Drosophila melanogaster: one gene and its partners. The protein of the gene in region 2 interacts with the protein of the main gene of each other region in a pairwise test. Each region holds a gene or a part of one and is shown on either strand. Other genes may lie near its edges.

What was found.
Region 1: the proteins of CG10841 (region 2) and odd interact in a two-hybrid assay, tested with the Drosophila melanogaster proteins (one large-scale study listed by BioGRID).
Region 3: the proteins of CG10841 (region 2) and CG10465 interact in a two-hybrid assay, tested with the Drosophila melanogaster proteins (one large-scale study listed by BioGRID).
Region 4: the proteins of CG10841 (region 2) and CG14926 interact in a two-hybrid assay, tested with the Drosophila melanogaster proteins (one large-scale study listed by BioGRID).

The regions. Positions count from the first base shown.
Region 1 is NT_033779.5:3,602,924-3,608,887, forward strand, and holds odd (odd skipped), read right to left. Parts: upstream 3,834-5,964; 5' UTR 3,436-3,833; coding exon 3,363-3,435; intron 3,177-3,362; coding exon 2,071-3,176; 3' UTR 1,301-2,070; downstream 1-1,300. UniProt on the Drosophila melanogaster protein: Pair-rule protein that determines both the size and polarity of even-numbered as well as odd-numbered parasegments during embryogenesis.
Region 2 is NT_033777.3:13,629,744-13,636,153, reverse strand, and holds CG10841 (uncharacterized protein), read right to left. Parts: upstream 4,213-6,410; 5' UTR 4,093-4,212; coding exon 4,057-4,092; intron 3,980-4,056; coding exon 3,853-3,979; intron 3,780-3,852; coding exon 3,636-3,779; intron 3,577-3,635; coding exon 3,404-3,576; intron 3,344-3,403; coding exon 3,137-3,343; intron 3,076-3,136; coding exon 2,694-3,075; intron 2,630-2,693; coding exon 2,419-2,629; intron 2,360-2,418; coding exon 1,922-2,359; intron 1,861-1,921; coding exon 1,392-1,860; 3' UTR 1,293-1,391; downstream 1-1,292.
Region 3 is NT_033778.4:5,338,852-5,343,628, reverse strand, and holds CG10465 (uncharacterized protein), read left to right. Parts: upstream 1-2,633; 5' UTR 2,634-2,886; coding exon 2,887-3,067; intron 3,068-3,116; coding exon 3,117-3,841; 3' UTR 3,842-3,923; downstream 3,924-4,777.
Region 4 is NT_033779.5:11,341,025-11,345,124, reverse strand, and holds CG14926 (uncharacterized protein), read left to right. Parts: upstream 1-1,806; 5' UTR 1,807-1,956; coding exon 1,957-2,025; intron 2,026-2,079; coding exon 2,080-2,288; intron 2,289-2,345; coding exon 2,346-2,542; intron 2,543-2,596; coding exon 2,597-2,646; 3' UTR 2,647-2,824; downstream 2,825-4,100.

The DNA of each region.
Region 1 (5,964 bases), on a different chromosome or scaffold from region 2:
AGGTCCTTAGACTGCCTGCGGCGAAGTGTTGCAAAACACGGAACACAAGTCCTACGGTTGACCACCCGACCAACTCGGCCAGATAAGACTAAGGTTAAGGTTTGGCCAAAGTCAGCAGGATATGCATGGCCAAGGGGGCGCGGCCAGGATACTTGTCAAAAGTAATCCTGGGCAAAAAAAAAGGCATCTATGTAGACATCAATTGGCGAATACGTTGGCACTTTTCTGGCACGAAAACAAAGCAAATCAAAGCCAACACAATGAGAGGGCCCAAATCAATTGTACATGGCCATAAGGCCCGAGAGTATGTCATCAAGGTGGAGAAAATGGAAAATGGAAATGCTAATGGAAATGGAAATCGAGCAGCAAATGAGGCAGATGCAGACCCCTCATGCGGGTTCCCCCCGGGGGTAACCAGAACGACCTCAGGCCTCAATTAAAGACAATCCTATGCTCGATTTTGAGACAAAGATCACAATCTGAAATTGACAGTTCTGAGTAAGAAGCGTGCTAAGAGAAATGCAATTGCCAATGGAAGAAACTAGAAAAGAAAACCACCATTAAAGGAAATCAAACATACCTTTTGCAAGGCATTTGGCACGTTCCCGATTTTCAAGAGAAGCCACAATGAAAACTGAACTAAACCCAAAACTGAAACACAGGCCATAAATATTTGGACCACACCTCAAAGTTAAACAATAACCATAGTGTTACCGAAATCGAAACCGATTCATGACAAAATCATAGCAAAACTGACATCAAATTCAATTCGATTCGATTTCATAAATTAACTTCTGCGACAGTTTGAATATTTTTGGTGGCGAGACTTCTGCTTACTTAATCGGCAACCTGAAAAATAATAGAGCTGCTTAAAAATGCGCAAATCGAGATCTGCATAAAAACTGAGTTATATTCGGATGGTTAATAAATTTTGACAGCTGCTGTTTGATGGTTCAACTTATATGGTCCTACGAGTTCAGTCTACTGAGTTATATTCGCAGCATGAGAAAATTCCCAAATCGGAATGGCGTGGGATTTAGTCAGCGGATAAGAAAGATTTCAAAGTGATTAAAAGTAGATCAAAATCATTCAGTCCGCTTGGAACTTGAATCAGTCAGTAGGTGGTAGAAGGTAATCAAAAAATTGCTGCTTAAATCTTTTCAGATAACTTTAACTTAGTACACCATAAAGATTATCAAGTTGCCAGTAGAAGTAATGATAAATCAAGGCGAAATTGCCATTGCCAAATACCTGGAAACACAAAATCCACCGTATTCATAAAAAGTCTTATTAAATTTCAGTTGAAAATTACTTTGCGTTTATATTTACGTATTTTTGTGATAACTTCATATCAATACGAATGTTTCAGACATACATATAGACGACAATGAGATCGTTGTGCATAGTCACAATTGCTATAGCGACAATTAAGTTGTTAAGTCTAAACAGTAAGTAATCATGACACTCGTCGGGGTTTAACATTACACAATCGATCGATTGATTTATTCAAGTACTATTTAAATATAATAATTAAAACAGTCTTTCAATAACCAAAGCGGGTTTGAGGTTTGTTTGATTGAGCTATTGTAACATAACATTTGGTTTACTCCATAAGCACTACGAACTGAATGGGCTACTACGACTATAAGGTACATACAATAATAGTTAGATTACAATATAAATTATGTGCTATTTATTAAAGTTTATAGTTTACAGTTGTGTGTGTGTGTGTGTGTTTTGGAATCGATTTGTAGGAGGCTTGTGCTAGCAATACTTTTCATTGGATTTTTCATCAGTTTTCCTCTGCTATTTGACTTTGGCATTTGTTTAACGCAATTGGGATCTGCTACATAGAACCGATTGCACGGAGGATGACTCTTCTGCTCACTGGGTTGCGATTACGAGTTGCTGGCGAGGATTTTCCACTTGCACCTTTGGCCAGAATGCGGGCTGGACTCGCTTGGTTTTCCATTCCAGGCATTTCCCATGCCTGGCGGACGTCCAGCTCTCTGAATCTCTTTTAGAATGTCTCAAAAGAAACCGGATACCGGGTTTCGCTGGTCCTTCAATCTATCTGCTCATGATCTCATCGATGGTGAAGCCCAGCATCCGCTTGGGCTTCTCTGAGCTCGAGGATGACGAGGATAGATCCAGGACAGGCAGATGCTGTGCCAAATTCTCAGGTTGAGGCGAACTCAATGCCTGGTTTGGCACCGAATGTGAAGTGGCTGGTGAGGTGGTCACCACCACCTCCTTGGTGCTCTGCTCGCTGTGGCTCTGGAGGTGACTCTTGAGGTTGGCCCGCTGGTTGAAGCTCCGCTGGCAGATGGGACACTTGTGCGGACCCTCCTCCAGATGGGTGACCTTGTGCACGGCCAGGGTGCGCGACTGGCAGAAACCCTTGCCGCAATCGCTGCACTTGAAGGGCTTGTCCTTGGAGTGGATGTACCGGTGGTCCCGCAGATGATCCTGTCGCCGGAAGGCTTTGCCGCAGATGTCGCAGGAGTAAGGCCTCTCGTCCGTGTGGGTTCTCTCATGGATGAGCAGATTGTACGACTTGGTGAACTGCCGGTTGCAGTACTTGCAGATGAACTGCTTCTTTGGCCGACTGCTGCCAGTTGCGCCGCTGGGTACACCACTCGCTCCACCGGCACCACCCAGTTTCAGGGTGGGCATGGCTCCGAAGTGGCGACCCATGACCGCGGCATGCAGACTATGGAGGCCAGCGGGATAGGGACGCACATGATGCGGATGTGGGTGAGGGTGGTGCGGATGGCCGTGGTGGTGATGATGGTGCGGATGTTGCTGCTGCTGCTGTTGCTGCTGGTAGATGGCTGCGTTGCGGATCCAGTGGTTCATCAACTGCTGGTGCACGGCCACGGGATCGGCGCTGGCTGTGGGATAAACTGGATACTGCTGTGGAGCCTGATGTTGTTGCTGCTGCTGCTGCATCTGCAGCCACAGGCGGTGCTGCTGCTGCTGTTGCTGCTGTTGTTGCTGCTGCTGGTAGTGGGCCATGTGTCGCATGTGCAGCTGGGTGGCCACCGCCTCCTCGCTTATCGCCGGATGCACTCTCCTCAGCGGCTCCTCGGTGGGCGTGTGCGGGGGCGTCAGCATGGGGGAGAGACTTGTCTCGCGCTCCTCCTTGATCACTATGAAATCCTCTTCAGCAAAGTCTAAAAAGGAAGGAATAGAAATGCCCACGGTTAGTTTTCAATTCATATAAATGCAATGCTATGTGAGACTACTTTCAAATATTAATGGAACATTTTTTGAAACTAGTCAAAAAGTGCTAGAGAGTAATGCGCTTTGCCGTCGGCATTTGCCAAGTTGTTCTGAGCCAGTTTTGAACTTGAACCCACCTTGTTCTCTGCTTAAGTTGAGCTCGTCATCCACGGTTATGTTGCTGATGGGTGAGGCCGATGTGGAAGACATTATACTGTCTTTGTTGGCCTTGTGTAGTTTTATTTGGCTTAAAATTGTTTAGTTGCGCGAACTGCACGGTTCACTTTGGCTTAGCACTTGTATCTACGAATGTATCTTTTCTCAGTATATTTCCCAGCTGACTGAGCGTTCTTTTGGATGCGACGTGCCACCGACAACGTCTCGACACAAACTGAATTCGTTGGCCGTTCGCCGCTCTCCGACTCAAACGCTTGAGAATCGAAGTGAAACGAGGCGAGTGGAGTGCTGATATTCCTGTCTCGCTTCCACGTTTGAGTGACTCGTGTTGCTGTTGTTAGTGTTGCTTTTGCTTTTGCTTTTGCTGCTGCTGCTGCTGCCGCTGAGCGATGTTGCTGTTGGGAGTAGCGCTCGTTAATAACTGACTGCAACTGCTGGCAGGGCGACCCGTTTTTGAACCGGCCGAGAAGTGCGGAGGAGGGCGACGAGGGTGGCGAGCGGCCCGACCAACGGCAGCTGCCTGTGGCGGGGTTGAAGTTGTTTGGAAATGGTAGATACGTCCACGCCTACCTGCTGCTCTCGGATTGGCCCTCAGCGTTCGGTATCTACTATCCCATGGATGTGGCTCCGACCGAATGTGCCTGTGGATGTGCATGGATATATGTGCCTTGGCTTTTTCCGTTCCAGCAGTAAGCAAGCGGAAACCGTTGGCCTGACGGTCGCAAGCCTGGGATATTGTTGGTGTTGCTGCTGCTGCCGATGTTGCTGCCGTAGTTGCTGCTGCTGCCGTTGCCGTTGCTGCTGCTGCTGCTGCTGCTGCTGTAGCTGCTGCTGCTGCTGCTGCTTCTGCCGCTGATGGCAGGCAGCCATCGCTGGAGTCCAGCCCGCATCCCAGTCCCAATCCCGAAACGCAGCCCTCCCAGGCGCATGTGCCATCAGCAGGAGCAGCAGCTGCACGAAGGTCCTGTGTCGTCCTGGCGCGTCCCTTCCACCTCCATTGCCATGTCCATACCCATTCCGCGCCAGCTCTCGCTGCTCCTCGTGCCTTTTTAATGTCGTGCTGTCTGCGCCGCAGGATATTGTAATCTATTGTCCCTGTTTGTGTTTGCGCCTGATTCGTTTTCACTTAAATTTTAATTTGCAATACAAATCAGTTTTTTTTATTCCCCCCCATTTTGCTTTACACTTTAATCTGGAATTCAATTAGCCGCTTCAAAGCGATGGCGATAAAAGTTTCGAGTGGGTGGAAACGGCCGTTTGTAGCGAAAATTGATTGGCTTTTAAAAGGGTTTCCGGCAGGATAAGCCGGACATATTTTACAGCAAATTAACGACGAGTTTGAGGTAATGGTAATGTAATTGAAAGACTTTATTAAAAGGATTGTACACAATTACTGGTTAGTTTTGGGTATGCCTTTCACACACCATTTATTTTCGAGTTTTTTTAATTATTTTACTCAGTATTGTATTTATTGTAATTCAGTTGTTTAAGTAGTTGTTAAGTAATAGTTGAACTTTCACCGTTTTCAACTGAAGTGCGACTCGAGCTTGTCAAATCATCTTTAATGAGTTCCTCATTCGAAATGCTTCATGCTACTCACTTGGATAATTATTTAATAATTTGTAATTGAATCGAGACAAGCAGGTGCACTTTATGGGCAGTTTTCTTAACATATTTTGAAGGAAATTGCTTGGAAACTAGAAATAGGTAAAGTCATAGGAAAAGGTTAAAAGATATAAGTTCTGCGGGTTGAATGTTTCCAATCAAAATTTATTGAAGCATCAAATTAATGTAGTTGTTATTTATAGGATATTGTAGTTAAATATCTTTACAATTTTTATTATTATTATTCGGGCTTCTATATAATTAATATTTTTCATATCTCATTTAAAAAGACAAATATTTCATAGCATTCAAGAAAATACGAATTTTCCTCATTAATGAATAGTTTTAAATTGCACATGCCATATTTATGCTTCCGAATTAAATCCTATTCTTCGGTTGGATTTTCCGCCAACTATAAGATATTTCCCAAGTCCGACAAAACATGGATAATGCATATCCTATTATCCTGCTTCCGAATTCCGTACATTCCCATGACTTTGACTTGTCGACTTTCCAGGTGAAGCATTTCCGCAATGGATCTGCGACTAATCCTTTAACTTGGCAAAACAAGAAACATTCCCATTGACTGGTTTTACCCGTATACGGACTTAGGATCCGAGGATCCTGAGACTAAGCCCATTGCGACACACTCCGTCACAAGCGGTCCTTGGCAGGATTGACTTTGGGTGATTAAATTAAGCAATATGTACACAACATTTAGTACAAACTTTCCCAAGCGGCGGCGAGCCAATGATCAAACAGCCTGAATCAATAGGCAAAGGTCCTGCTGCAGGACGTTTTTTCCCAGAGTGCGTGTGTCTGGAACTCTCGGATTGTCGATTTTTGATTTTCGATCCGTTCCAACATCGGATCGGATGTACCGTCGGTTTGCCAGTGTCGGTTAGCTTTAGCCTCGGCGTTTGGCAATTGTCGCCGCTGTTGACGGTTGGCAAACAG
Region 2 (6,410 bases):
CAACCTTAACACACCTTTACACACTTGATGTGTAGCACCATTCCAACAACAGCATCATACGCAGCTAAAAAACATCATTTATACAATACAAGGCAAACCACAAAGCAAAACAAGAAAAAAAAAAAACAACACAAATAGATACACACACATAGTTAGGCATACACATGTAATTTTTCAGCAAGTGGCTAATTTTTCATAGCCACACGCTCATTAAGCCGACAAACCAACCAACCAAACAACCAACCAACCGCCCACCAAACAACCCTTCAACCCGTGCAAAACCACAAGACAACATTGCAGGGAAACGTGGCAAACAACATTTGCCAAACTAACTGCTGTGCAATGCTCACGTTGTCTGTGTGTCGAAACTAATTTGTTTTTCTAATGTAGTCCCATACATTATGCGAGGTAATTGTTTAACGCGTCAGTAGAGCACAGGATGTCGGAGAGATAGGAAAGATAGGAAAAAAAAACAGAAGAAATCAAACAAAAATACTTACAAAACAAAACAAAAAATACAGCTAAAATGTTTCATATATTACACAATACAATAGAGTATAAGTATTTGTTTAACTTTAATTATGAATTAACTGTAATATGTAATAATAATTATAGAACCAACAAACAAAAGAAGCAAGCATTGACTGGCTGGCACATCGGGTTGCCTTCTTCCCGTTCGATTGAGAAAAACTATATACGATATTCGATATACGATATACGACAAGACACAGGACAAGACAACAAAGCAGAAACAACCTACAACAAACAAACCACCATATTACATAATATACTAGTACAGAGCAGAGAAAGCGGAAACGATATTAGTTTTTGTTTTCCGGATATGTGTATTACGCTCATAGACTACATATATACATACATAATACATAATACATCTATATTTATGTACACTTCTGAAAGGGAAGAGATTTATATTTTAATAAAAATCTAAAGTCACACTCTCTACGTACACACCCACAATTGTATAGACCACTGCAAGAATGCGAATTGTTAAATCAAATCTATCTATGTATACACTACTATAGCTATATGAAAATCTTTATGAAATCGTCCGACCGTCAAGCTGAATGGATGGCATTAATATATGTAAATGCCGATGTGTGCTGGACGGGCAGTTTAGGTAGCATTTCGAGGAAATCAATACATGGAAGCGTGGATTTTCCCCCTTAAAAAAAAAAAGAAATTAAACATTCTCAAGCGAAATTACAACCTAACTTAATTGAATGATAGGAGATCAGTTTTAAAGCGAACATTACATTAAAGAAACCTAAATTAAAAGAATCCACCAATTGTTTTTTTTATTTTACTGATAACATTCAAAAATTTGGACAAATGATACACTTGGAATTTGGAGAGGGTTAGTTTTCGCGCCACTAATAGTTGCGCTTCATTTGACCGGTGGCAAAGAGCACGTCGAGGATTTTCAGGAACTCCCGGTAGTTGAACTCCATGCACATGCCCTTCTTCACGCCGAAGCACTTGCAGATCGCTTGGAACTCGCGGCTGCTCAGCATTACATGCATGTCGCGCACCGTGATGCCGCGCAGGAATTGATTCTGCGTGATCGAGCCGCACTGTTCGCGATCGAAGTCCTTGAACAGCTGACTCAGATTGGAGATCTCGTCCGGTTTGCGGGCCAACTTCATCAGGGCCTGCGAGCAGATGGTTCGCTCGTCGAAGCTCAGGAAGCAGTCGACGCAGTCCAGATTGGGCAAATGGAGCAGTGGCACGGCGGTCACCACCTGGTCACCCATGTTCGTGTCCAGTTGGATGAAGATCTCGTCGAGGGCCTTGCAGAAATCGCGATAGCGAATGCAGGACACGCGATTCGGTGAACGGAAGCTGGTCATGTTAAAAGGATATAAATGAAATATAATACATATACAAGTTGCGAATTACTCACATGTTGCACAAGATGTTAGCTTCCTCTTCCTTGATGATTACACTTGAGTTATCCAGGGCTCGCTTGAAGTCCGATTCAAGGATCTCGCCCTCGCGATGGCGATCGTAGTCCTTCATGAACTCGATGACGGCCACGCTCTTGACCACAGCCTGTCGCTTGGCGTTCGTAAGGATGCGCACGATCACCTCCTCGCTGACATCCTCGGGATCCAAATTGTCTCTCGCAAACGGTGGACACTCCACCAGTTGCTGCTTGGTGACCAGCGCTGGCATGGCATACTCCGCCGGATCGACGTCGTCCAAAAACTTGGTGTAGCAAAAGCCCAGCTCGTTTCCATACCGACTCAGCACAGAGTCCTGCTCCGGATCGGACAGAAGGATGCCATTGGTGCGAAAAATCTGCTTGGTAATGTTGCAACGCACATGTCCACTGTTGAGTCTGGAAAGGAAACGCCAAATAGTTCAATCTTCATTTAAGATCGGTATCGGTAAACTTACTTATCGTAGCTTCGGAAGAATGGATGCAGATAGAGGCGACGATTGCGGATGCGTATCTTAATCTTGGCCATGGCATCCTCACACAGATCACGAACATTAGCCGACACAGACTCCCAGGGCACGGCGCCGGGTCTGGGCAACTCCTGGATGTGACGAAGTGGCGATTCCACGACACACTGTGGCATCTTCTCCAGGTTCTTAATGGTGAATACTAAAAATATAATACATATATATATATAGAGAGTTTAGTGCTCATAGTGTTCATTACTCTTCACCTGTATCGATCTCATCAGCGAAATTGCGCCAACGCACTCGATTGATATCCACGGGATCAGTGTAGCGTTCCAGCAGAATGGACATTTCCCTTTGGGTCAGATATTTTCCCACTCCCATGTTCGATAGACCGCGCTCAAATTGATTCTTGGTGATGCTGCCCACGTTTAGGCTGTCATAGCACTCTAGGAACTCGGAGGTGCGCACTTGGTTCTTGTAGATGTAGTTCTGAATGCAGAACAGAATGTCGCACTGATTTCGATTCTTTTTGGGTGTACTGCAGGCATCGGGAAAGATTGGATGCACTGCCTTGCAACCATCAATAGCTGGCAGTTGGGAAAGTTCTAGGTCCACTAAACGTCCCGGAAAGTCCTTGATAATATCCTACATTCGGAACACATTTCATCATACGCGCGAATTCTTTAGCATTGAAGTTAGCACTTACATGTGAGTTGTCCAGCAGATGATGCTCGCCCAGGTATGCTATAATATTATCGATGTGCTTGAGGAAAGCCACATAGTTGACCAGGTAACCATCCTTCATATAGCGTCTGAGGAGGAGCAGAAAATCGGACTCCGAAAGTGGTATCTTCATAAAGTGCAGCACACGAGAAAAGTGCGCAACGGTAACAACTCCAACATTTTGTGCAATCTATAAATAAATGTAATAGCTTATTAATATGGTGGATATATGATTAAGCAAATCAATTACTAGTTCGTAGTCCTGAAAGTAGGGCATGAGCGGAATATTGCATAGTTGGGCAATCTTGAGCAGGATCAGGCAGAGACGTCGTCGATCCTCCGGCTGGGGTACAACATTCACATGCCAGGGATCGTTCCACTCCAGTCCCGTAGCTAGATCACTTTTGGCGGTCTTATGCAGTGCTAAAATTATATGTTAAATAGATATAGCATTGATACAATTTAACCAAAAACCAACTTACTTTCGCTGCAGACGACCTTGCAGAACTGACGATACGCTACGCGTCCATCTCGAATTTGGAAATAGTCAGTGACATCCCGGAGTTCCGACTCGGACAATCCGGCCACCTTGCGATACTTGCCCAGCACGGCGGTGAAAATGGGCTCTGGAGTAGATGGGTTAGGTCGTAAAAAGGGGGCGCAATAAAAATGGGAAATACATCCGAAGGATGTGCTCACCGGACACGAAGCCACTGCAACAGGGATCATGCTGCTTTAAGTCGGCGCAGATGTCAAAGTTATAACGAAAAATGGCGCCCTGGATTTTACGACATCCTCGCCAGATTTGATTTAGCTCCATCTCCTCCTAAACGGTGGCATTCAAATTAGTTGAATACGTTTAATGGCCAACACATATGACTGGCAATAGAATGGACAACTCACTCTGTCATCACCCTCTTTAATCTTGGTCGAATGCATCTTGGTTTGGTAAAAACTTTTTTCGGATTTTTTATTTTTCGATTTGCAGCACAATATGTGGAAAATGTTTACAAAACTCCTTAAAAGGTGTAAGGGTGTCTGTTTGTGTGTGTGTGTGTTAGCGGTAACCCGTTGAAACAATGAAATCAAGGGCTACTTGGCCAGCTTGGCCATTACAAATTGGATTTCTCCGCTGCGCCGTGTTTGCTTTGTTCCCGTTTCTCCCAGGATGCCGCGACTCACGCAAGGAAGCCGTCGAGCAGTGCTACACTAATCACTTCCTTCGCTGGCAGGACGCAAGGACCTGGGACCTGGGTCCCGGTGGCCAGGAGCCGGCTTTCACTTTTCTACAAATCGCCTCAAATCACGCGCTCATTCGTCCAGCAGTTTGTCGCAATGCCACCAACACTTTGATTCAATTTTCTATAAATGGCAGGGGTGAAGGAAAACAGCATGGGAAAACAAAAGGGGTGAGGGAAAAATATCACAATGATTGAAAAAAAAAAAACATCCTGGCATCATCAAATGCAATTTCATTTTATTGGAAAATCGCTGGCCAACCAACCAAGCAAACCGCATCTAAAGCCAACTAACAGTAACAAATCACTGGAAAAATAGCAATTACAAACTAAGTATTTTAAAATGTATATAAACATTTGGAAATTATTGTATAATTTTTTAAAGTCTCTTAATAGCAGTTAAGAAAAGAATCCAGTGTTAATATATTGTTAATATAGTTTCCTACTTTTAAACACCGTTCAAAGTGATTTTTAGACTCTATTGACATTTTTACGCACCTGATGTTGCCTCAAAATATTTACCTCAGTGTGGCAGCAGCAAAAGGCAACCTTGTGCAGAACTGACTCTTATGTTAGTAACCTAACCCAGTGACCCTACCACCCTGCAACGCCCAGTTCTAGTCAAGGTTGATTGGCGACGACAGGTGCCCATACACCCGTACACCTGCCCACTTCAAACTGGCCATTCTGGCCACTTCTGGCCACGCGACTAAAAATAAGCTAAAGGGCGGTCCTTGCTGGCATTTCTAGTGTTTGTTTAGATGCCCTTTTTGTTCCCAGAGTCACGAATGTCGCACTCTTATGGAGTCAATGCGCCAAATGCCTAGGTAAATATCATTGTTGGTGCAGTGATATTAATGTAGCATGATTGCATGAAAATGCTAAAGGTTAAAATGCACATATTTAGCAAAAATAAAGCTATATAATTTCTATAGAATTATACTAGTATTTTGGTCCTCCAAGCCGCATTAAATGTTTTACAATAAGCATTTAACTATTCTGCAATATACACAACTATAACTTATGATTCTACATTATAAGTCAAAAATTCTAGAATTTTGGTCCTTCAAACCGCATTCAATAATTTTAATAAGCATATAGCATCATTGGATGTTAATTTCATAAATCTAAAGCGGCACATTAGGTGTGATTTAAATTGACCCGTTTAGCATAAAATGGTTTTATTACGCTCCGTTTTGTTGCAAATCTCCGTGTTTAATTAAATTTGTTTATATGCGTGTCGGCAAATTGGTTTGCAGAATCGTAATACCCGGAAACGGTTAGTTGGCAGTCATAAAAATGAATTGCAATCATTATCGTTGCTTAGATGAGGTTTGCAGCCATCCAATTCCGCACAACCCCCCTGCGTTACCTTTGAAGCGTGCTTTATTGCAATTTTTATTGCACATTTTTGATTTACTCAGCCATTGAAGCCACGGGCTTTTGAGCTGCCGGAGCTGGTTTCTGGTTGGGGCATTTGGCTTTTGGCCCGGGGCTATGTGCGTGTGGGTTGATGGCCAGGACATCGATTTGCTCGTGTTTTGTCCTTACTGCCTGACCCGTTTGATTTGATGCGGTGTTAAATTATAATTACAGGTTGGAGCTGCTGAAATGGGGACGTTCGTGGGCTAGTGGAGCTGCCAGAGGAAGGGGGTTTCGCAGCTTATCGCGCACAAACATATGGCATTTTGTCAGTTAGTTTTGTCTGCATTCTTTTTTTTCGCACAATCGCGAATGCAAGGAGCTGTACACTGATAAAAAGCAGGGTACAGGAAGTAAGCATTTAGTGCTTTAAGGTGTATATAAAAAGTATGTTAGAGTTTTTAAATAACCATTAAGATCTTAAGGGCATTTGTTGCTTTTTTTTTAGTTAGATTAATGAAAATAAATTATATTTTATTTTAGTGCAGTGCCTTCAGCTGTTTGCATGTGTAGGTAGACAAAGTACTCGCATATATATTCATGAACCTGGTGTACATCTGCATAATGCATAGCAGCAGCAGCAGCGGCAAAAGAAGA
Region 3 (4,777 bases), on a different chromosome or scaffold from region 2:
CGGGACGAGCAGGTGTACACAGACACCTGGGAAGAATGCGGAAGGACATCTTTGATCTGCGGAGAAACATGGAGAGGGCGGCGCAGGATCAGGCGCGCCACTATCATTTTCGAAGATGGTCGTGGAAACGCAAGGTGGGGGACACAGTGTGGGCCAAAGAGCACCATCTGTCGAAGGCAGTTGACGGCTTCGCGGCGAAGTTGGTGCCGAGGTTTGATGGGCCGTTAGATATTTCATAAGAAGTATTTACGCATTTTGCGACTTAATAAGCGAATTAAGAGTTCTTTATGCAGTACAATTATCTGCAATATTTACAGGCTTTTGTTGGTGATTTAACATATCTTTAATGTCATCATTACTTAACATTTTTGTGTTAACTGCATACAATTTTGCCAGAGTAATAGTTTCCATTTAGGGTTTCAAGTCAAATGTTAACAATCATAACCTATTTACCTGCATTGGTTCTGGTGGGGGTTGTACCTTGCAATTGTTATTTAAATTCAAATTAATTCTTTTGTCCAAAGTTCCCGCTTACCGGCCAATTATTATGCTGATTAATATTCTGATTATGGTTCTGATTATTATTCCAATTATTATTCATTCTATTTGATGTTTAGATGATGTTAGTTTCTTATTCTGACACTTTGCCAAAACATTTGGCAAGTCTAGTAGGTTTAGAGAAAAGAGTAAAATAAGGAATTAAGAATTCTAAGAGCGTTACTCCTAATTGTTCTATTCATTTCCTTGGTTATTTCTCTGTCATTTGCATATGTCATTAAAATTTTTGTTATGAGTAAAGCAATTTTCTTGTTAACTTTGTTGTAGAATTCTGTAATGCTTTAGCGCCCCTGTCTAAGGATGCATAATTCAGATTCGAGAATATGGATTGGCCTTTAATCTTTATAAACAAAATCCAATCTGGAAAGAATTGCGTTAAAGTTTAAAACTGTATCATGGTTAGTTAGAGCATCATGTGTTGCTCCCATGATTTTATAACGTAGTATTGGTAAACAGATAAGATATTGTTCACTTCGAATTTTATATAGACCCATGACAGTTTCTGCCGCTTCTTACTTGCCTAGAACTCTCAACTTTGGTAAAGATTTAATTACCTAAGCGGTAGTGTCGCACTTTATAGTTGGGTCAATTGTTTGCATTTTATAAACTCTACTACATTTCTGCTAGCGTTTAACTGCCCTTCTGTCCCTTCAATTTTTTTGGTCACTTCTCCCAATTGTACATTTTTTAATCGGGTAATTAATTCCATTTTCAGATTCATGGCGCTGGTTGGTGCTGAACCTCCGGTTACCATTATTAAATTTAATTTTCAAAACTATTAAATTTTCCAGATTGTTTTCTTTAATTAATTGATACATTTGATGTTGAAATGTTTAATTTTAAAACTCTATGGTATTCCTTATAGCTTTCTCTAATTTTATTAATTTCTTTTAAAGACTTAATATTAATTTCTGGTCACGATACATTTTGTTGGAGTCTTATTAGGTCCTTTAGGTTAATTGTCCTGATTATTTACTGTCAATTGTTTGTATTTAGCTGGGGCGGGGGATTACCATCAGGTCATCCTTTCTTCTTGTTGATTTTTTTATTTTTGGGATATTTTCGGTAATAGTTTTTGGCTTTTTGTTTCAATTGTCTTTCTTGCTGAGTCTGATTATTATTATTCTTGTGTTCTCGTAGTTTGTATTAAGAATTTAGTCCACATTTTTAAATATAATATTCTTAGTTGGATTATTGCATTTATAATTTCCAATTAAGTTTTTCCACGATCACTGCCACAGTAGTTAGATGTCGTTGGATTAATGTGGATGTTTTAAGAATGTGAGTGGTTAGCGGCGCGAGTTTCGTTTTATATTTAACTTATTATTGTTAATATTTTTTTAGAACTTTTGAACTACACCGCTATACGTTGGGCGCTAATTAATCGTCCCGATTCAGTCTGATTTTTAAATCTTAATCCTAATCCACTCAACCTCGGCCAGAAGCTTTTATTTAGAATTCTCTTGAACTTTATACTGAAATTATTTCACAGCATTATGAAATTGAAATTTGCTGACTGGTGTTTACGTTAAGTTTGGTCATTTATCGGATGGTTAAGTGCTGGCGACAAAAACAAAAACAAAGGAAATGCTGCTGAGATCGGGGTATGAAATTTGTTTATCAACAGAGCAGGGTGCTATATTTACGGGTGGGATAACTTATATGTATTGTAATTAATCGCACATGGGGCGGTTATATATACATACAACTTTTATTTTAATAAAATTGAGTTTCACGTTATCAGATGCGCTGAGCTGATATCTTACTTGTAATCTCAGGTATGCAACATAAAATAAATAAAATAAATAGCTATTAGATAATGAATATATTCTGATTCACTCAAAATTACTTTAATATGGCAACTTTTGAAAATTTGATTATAACTAGAAAAAATAGCGCTAAAATTTGGCATTGTTAAGATTTCAATATTTTAGCGACAGTCCCTCTCTTGTATAGTTGTTGTGTTATCTAACAGGAGCATTCTAATTTTCAGCAAAACTGTGGACGGTATGCATATTTAAAATCACGTTGTTCTATGGTATACCATGTGGTATAGACCCACTCTTGTCCAAACAGGCCCTTAAAATATAAATTGAAATCGATGGGTCGTTTCCATATCGATATTTTCTCAAATTTTTGAGCTGTCCAAAACAATAAATACATACATTAAATATACCTTTAATACAATACATTGAAGTCAAAATACAATTTTAAATTGCTAATCACTATTTCGCCGAATTTGCATAAACGCATGAGAACTATGACCGACTAAGCAAGTTATCTGAATGCAGTAGCTGAACCCCGAAAGCTAGAGAACAAAAAGTATAAATGTCGGAATCAATGTCAGGTGATCACAAAATTTTATTAAAAGGACATTCCTCCCAATATTTAAAACTTAATGTTGGTGGTCATTTATATTATACCACAATTGGAACACTGACGAAAAACAATGACACAATGCTGAGCGCAATGTTTAGTGGTAGAATGGAAGTGCTGACTGATTCGGAAGGTTTGTTACATGTTCTTATACGGAATAATATTAATATACAAAATTCTAGGATGGATTTTAATCGATCGCTGTGGAAATCATTTTGGTATCATTCTTAATTATTTAAGAGATGGCACTGTTCCATTACCAGAAACTAACAAGGAAATTGCAGAATTGCTTGCCGAAGCCAAATACTACTGCATTACCGAGTTAGCTATTTCTTGTGAACGGGCACTATATGCTCATCAGGAGCCAAAGCCAATTTGCCGCATTCCACTTATAACTTCACAAAAGGAAGAGCAGCTTTTATTAAGTGTTTCTTTAAAGCCGGCTGTTATTCTTGTGGTTCAGCGGCAGAATAACAAGTATTCGTACACAAGTACATCAGACGACAACTTATTAAAAAATATTGAATTATTTGATAAGCTTTCTTTGCGCTTTAACGAACGAATTTTGTTTATTAAAGACGTAATTGGGCCAAGTGAAATCTGCTGCTGGTCATTTTACGGACACGGAAAAAAAGTAGCTGAAGTGTGTTGCACTTCAATAGTTTATGCAACTGACAGAAAGCATACTAAAGTTGAATTTCCGGAAGCTCGTATATACGAAGAAACGCTACAAGTCTTGCTTTATGAAAACCGCAATGCACCAGACCAAGAGCTCATGCAGGCAACGTCTTCAGCACGAGTAGGAAGTGCAAGTGGAACCAGCATTAATCAGTACACAAGCGATGAGGAAGAAGAACGCACTGGACTAGCGCGATTACGATCCAACAAGCGTAATAATCCGTCCTGATTTACAAAACTCTATTACATATGATTGACATTGTTTTTTATAAACGATTAAAAAAAATATATATATGTTTTCTTTTCTTAATAAAACTTGCTATTTCTGCTGTGTGGTCTGCTATAGGTGTAGTTGAAATAAAATGGTTTTTTTTTTGGTTATCCTGTTAAGAAGAAATTCCGTGTTTTCCACATATGCGTTAATAAGCTTTCCTTCCCAAGCCAACTGTAGAACGATGCTTTGTTAAGTTGATAGTTCCGATCATATTAACTAGAAATGACATTCCCTTTGCACTGTACACCTAACAGTGGATTGCATAAGCGCTATTCTGTTCCGAAAATTACTACTACTGGTTTAAAGTTATTAATAAAACCTCTTCAGTTCAAAACTAAATATCACGTTTTATCAGCGATGTTTTTTAAATTTTCCGAAACATCGATGTTTAATTTAGACTATCGATGATTTTAGGATCATCACTATTCGAAGAACAAGAAGAAGAGCTATAATTTCTTCAGCTAATTTAATTAACTTAATTTCAATTATTAGCGTGCAGTATATATATATTTATTGCTTTTTAATTGTTGGTGAAAGCTATGCAAGTCGTTGGAGATCTTCATGCAAAGCAGGCCAAGTCATTTCTGATCGCCGAACTACATTGAAAGCTTATGCTGTGAACAAACTTATGTTCATCGACAAAATTTTGGACATTTCTACAAAAAAATTATGCGATAAAATGAAGATAAAGATGCTCAAATTACACATATATGTACACTTTAAATAAGATATATTTATGAGGCGTCTGGTAAAACCGATCTCACTGATTTTTAAATTCCTATTATTACTAATTTAAGATGATGCATATGAAAAGAAATCGCATTGTTTCTAAGTTTGTAAAATTATTATTTGTTGAGTTGTTTTATATTCAATTTCTAATCAATTGAATTC
Region 4 (4,100 bases), on a different chromosome or scaffold from region 2:
GATGGAAGATTGGAAGATGGGTACTATATGGCTAAAGTTCCCCCACGCGCCACCGATGATGCCAATGATTAATTGCCTCGAAAATGTTTGTTTTCATAAACAATTTTTTTAATAGACCCTCGCATATGTCGGCTGTCGGACGAGTCAGAAACCTGGATCTATCGGGGTCGACGAGTGGGCGGGGTCAAAGAGTTAAATCGATTCGAGTGTTGTCTTTGTCGGATCTTAATGCAGATGACTCCGATGACTCCGGAGTTTCAATGCAGCTATTTTCGTGTCCTCCGCCTCTGATCGATGCACTCGTGTTGGGAATGTAAAAAGAGTTGATAAATCAAAATGTTTTGCCGGGGTCACAAGGCAAGGCATTTGAACGCCCCCGTGGCCCTGACAAATGGGCCCATGGTATTTGGGCTTATTGAAGGTGTTAATTGGCAGCAATTAGGATGGACCTTAAGCGGTGGAAATTCATATTTTCCAACGTTTAAATACGTTTAAAATTAGACAAAATGTTGGTGGAGAAAATAGAAAGACAAACCAGAGTAAGAAAAATATTTATCCCCCGGACGAGGGTCGCCAAGAAATTTATGAAATTTCTGTGTGCTCTGGAGCTCGTGGCATTCCCGAAACAGATTTTTTCAATTAAAAATAAAAAATGTTTTCAACAGGTGACAAAACAATTTTACGGCCCCAAGACCGCACGAATGCCATAAAATGGGATTAGCCATCAGGGAGATGACGATCAAAGGAGGGCACTTCTCGTTTCCTTTCCTGATGCCTTGTTTTGAGTTAAAGGGACCATCAAATATTTTATGCATTTTAAATTGCTGCTAAAAAAGCAGAGCTAACGTTCCCTCATCTCTTGCCATTCCAGCCATAAATCTTAGGGCTCGGGAGATACATTTTGTGGGACGACAGGTAGATCCCATTGCTGGCTGGTCCAAGGACATGCCGACACTTGGCCTCAAGTGCATTATGAATATGAAGCAATAATTTATTTATGAACCTCATAACGATGCAATTTATGAGGTCATCTGCCATTGTCTGCTGCTCCTTTGTAGGTCAGTCTTTGGCCTTTGTTCTGCAGATCGGCAAGAAACATAAATAAAACTTGCATCGATAGGAAACTGGTTTGTCAGAGGCAGGGAAAAAGATACAGCTGTGCGGCATGCGGTGTGTACAGGTGGAAGTCGCTAAGGATAACAAGGTTTCTTATCTACCGAAGTGTGGCCCAACATGGGTTTTAGTTTGTAGTGCTAAAGTCCTTTTCGGACAAAATTTATTTAGTAGTTTCCTATCCAACTGGTTTATATTTCTTACAACTTTCACCAAGCACACCGTCTGAATATATTACATTTTTAGAATAAAACAATAATCAGTATTTATTGCGCTACATTTGCTTAAACATTTATTTATTTATCACCAGCATCTGGACATTAATTCCATAAATCAGCCACCCAGACACTGAAATGATTAATTCAATAAGTTTGAATGGCTGTTCTTAACTGCCATTAATAGGCTAATAATCTCGAGATGATGATTAAAAATGTTTATTATGACTGTGTTTGCACAAAATTTGAATTTTATTATGTCTAAGATTATATGAGAAGATCAGAGATAACATTTCAAAATCTCAGCATGATCTCAAATATTCCGTTAAGAGCGAGTATAGAACACAGACTGGTTTTTGCTAATGATATTCATGATGCGACAACGAAATGATTTATTTTGTTTGTTTTCCTGTTATAGAAGATTATAAACGTATAGATTGTACATGACTAAAACAAGTTAGAAGTTTTCAAATCAAGTAAGCATGGAAAACACATTAATGTGTACTTCAGTTGGCTCGAATTAGAAATCCTCATTTTTAGTCCGGCATTCAGTAAGGTAACAGATCGGCCAACAAAATTTTTTCAAAAACCATTTGAAATTTTTTTGAAATTTTTAAATTTTTTAACGATGGAAAACGGTCCGGAATTCAATTGGGAGTACAGCCATGGTGGTCAGGGAAATCCCAACTACTCACAGGTGAGTCTGCCTACGTACTTCGGTATCCGGGTCTAAACCATGGAATGGTTTCAGATGGGAAGGGGTAGTACTCCTCCTGGAGGCGGTGGTCGTCAGTGGCTGCACTCAAGTCAAGCGAACACCCAAAACTATTTGCATGGATCCAGTGGAATGGGATCGCACCAGAATAACGCATCTCCAGGTGATCCATTCGCCTCCTACAACCAAAATATGATGAACATGTACACGAATTTTAAGCCCAGTTACGGTCATTCTCAAGTTGGGTAAGTTTTTTTTTATGGATCTTAAGGCTGATCTAAAACTGTTTTGGGTTCTATTAGCCCGGCTTCGGTACAGGGCATGGGCTCAGAGCCTGGTCTTGAAATGGGTAACAGAATGGGCCATTCCATGCCCGAGTCTATGGGATTCGATGGAGGCATGGGTTCCGGCATGGGCATGAGCAATGGCCTTGGCGCTGGAATGCGAGTTGGTTCCATGCGTGGTGGTCAAAGGTTAGCTGGAGGCTACTCTTCGAATGGTAAGGCATTTTACTTACCTAATGAAGAATCGCATTAAAATCGTTTTTTTGTAGGTCTCAATGATCCGAACCCTTCGCAATCCCACCGTGGTAGTTGGTTCTAGAAGAGCCCATTAGTTCCTAACTAACTTTACGAATCTCATTTGGCACTTGAAAATTAAATATAATAGGCTTCCCATGAAATGTATATTCACAAAGCAAGTAACTCGAAATTTCCCGTTTAAGAATAATAAATTGATCACATAATAAATATTTGGCACATTTATCAATCTGCGATCACGTGTACGTTATCTATAGTTGTGACCGTTTAATTGTAATCGATATTCAAATATGGCCGAGGGTCAAACGGTGCCATTAACGCCGGCTAACCTTCTGCCCTTTTGGGTGCTGTGACCTCTGTCATCGGGGATCTGTGTATGGAAATCACGTAAGGGATGGGGTGGGGGGTGGCTTTAGTTGCGAGGGGTGGCGCAAGGGCATAAATAACAAATGCAATGTATTTGTATGTATAAATTATGATGATACTATTAGTTAGCATGTCATTCGGCAGCGGGTCTATAAATTACGGACAGGCAACAACTGCAGCAGTGCACACCCACCCTCCCATTTTTAGGGGCCAATGTGCATCCGTTTTTTTTTTTTGGGAGTTTTTATTAATAAATTTACATATACATACGATTTCGGGGGGCCCCTAAACATCGCCACTCGCCTGTCGCATGTCCCCAAATGAGGAACTCCTCCCGTTTCGGAAGTCCCGCGCGTGTGTAATGATCTGTCGCCCTGGATCAGGGCAGCGGATTAATGGTAAACCGAACGCATTTTTCATCGAACATTCCGTTGCATTTTTTTTCCTCGATTTTCCACTATGTTTTTAACAAGCGCCCATTTCGGAAGAACTAATTTATATATATTTGTTTCTGTGCGGCGAGAGTTCAGTAAACTATATGGAATCGCTACGGTTATGAGACCGTTCCGTTCGTTGTGCTCCAGATACGGTCGGTTCCGTTCCCCTCCATGAAACCCTTTCGGACGGAGGGATCCCCGGGTGGAATGCCAGTCACGTCTTGGACGGATAGGCCAGAGAATAGACCCAACCGACAATCACTCCGCCGTTTTCTGCCTTCATTTCAATTCAGTTCTTTTTTTTCTTTTTTTTTGTTGTGTGATATATATATGTATATATAACATTAAGTTAGTCCGTGACGGTTTGTCGGGTGGCGAAGGGGTCACAAATAAATTAAAACAATTGAAATTTACATTAACATTTCTCGACTCGGTTGGGTCTTGTCTTAACACCTCTTCTGTCAGCTGTGCTTGAGGGGAAACTAGGAAAAAGTTGAGCATTTTAGACTTTCTACAAGTTTTATATATGGACATACATTTTAAAATATTTCTTAAAATAATAGTATTTTAATATTGAAAAAATCATAACACTCATGTTTAAATCTTCTTATTTGTTTTCACCCTTTTCTAAGTATGATCTTATTTTACAGGGTATTTAGGATGGGGCTCCATTGTAGTTATTGCCCTTTCACGTCGAGTAGTTGAAATATCTTGG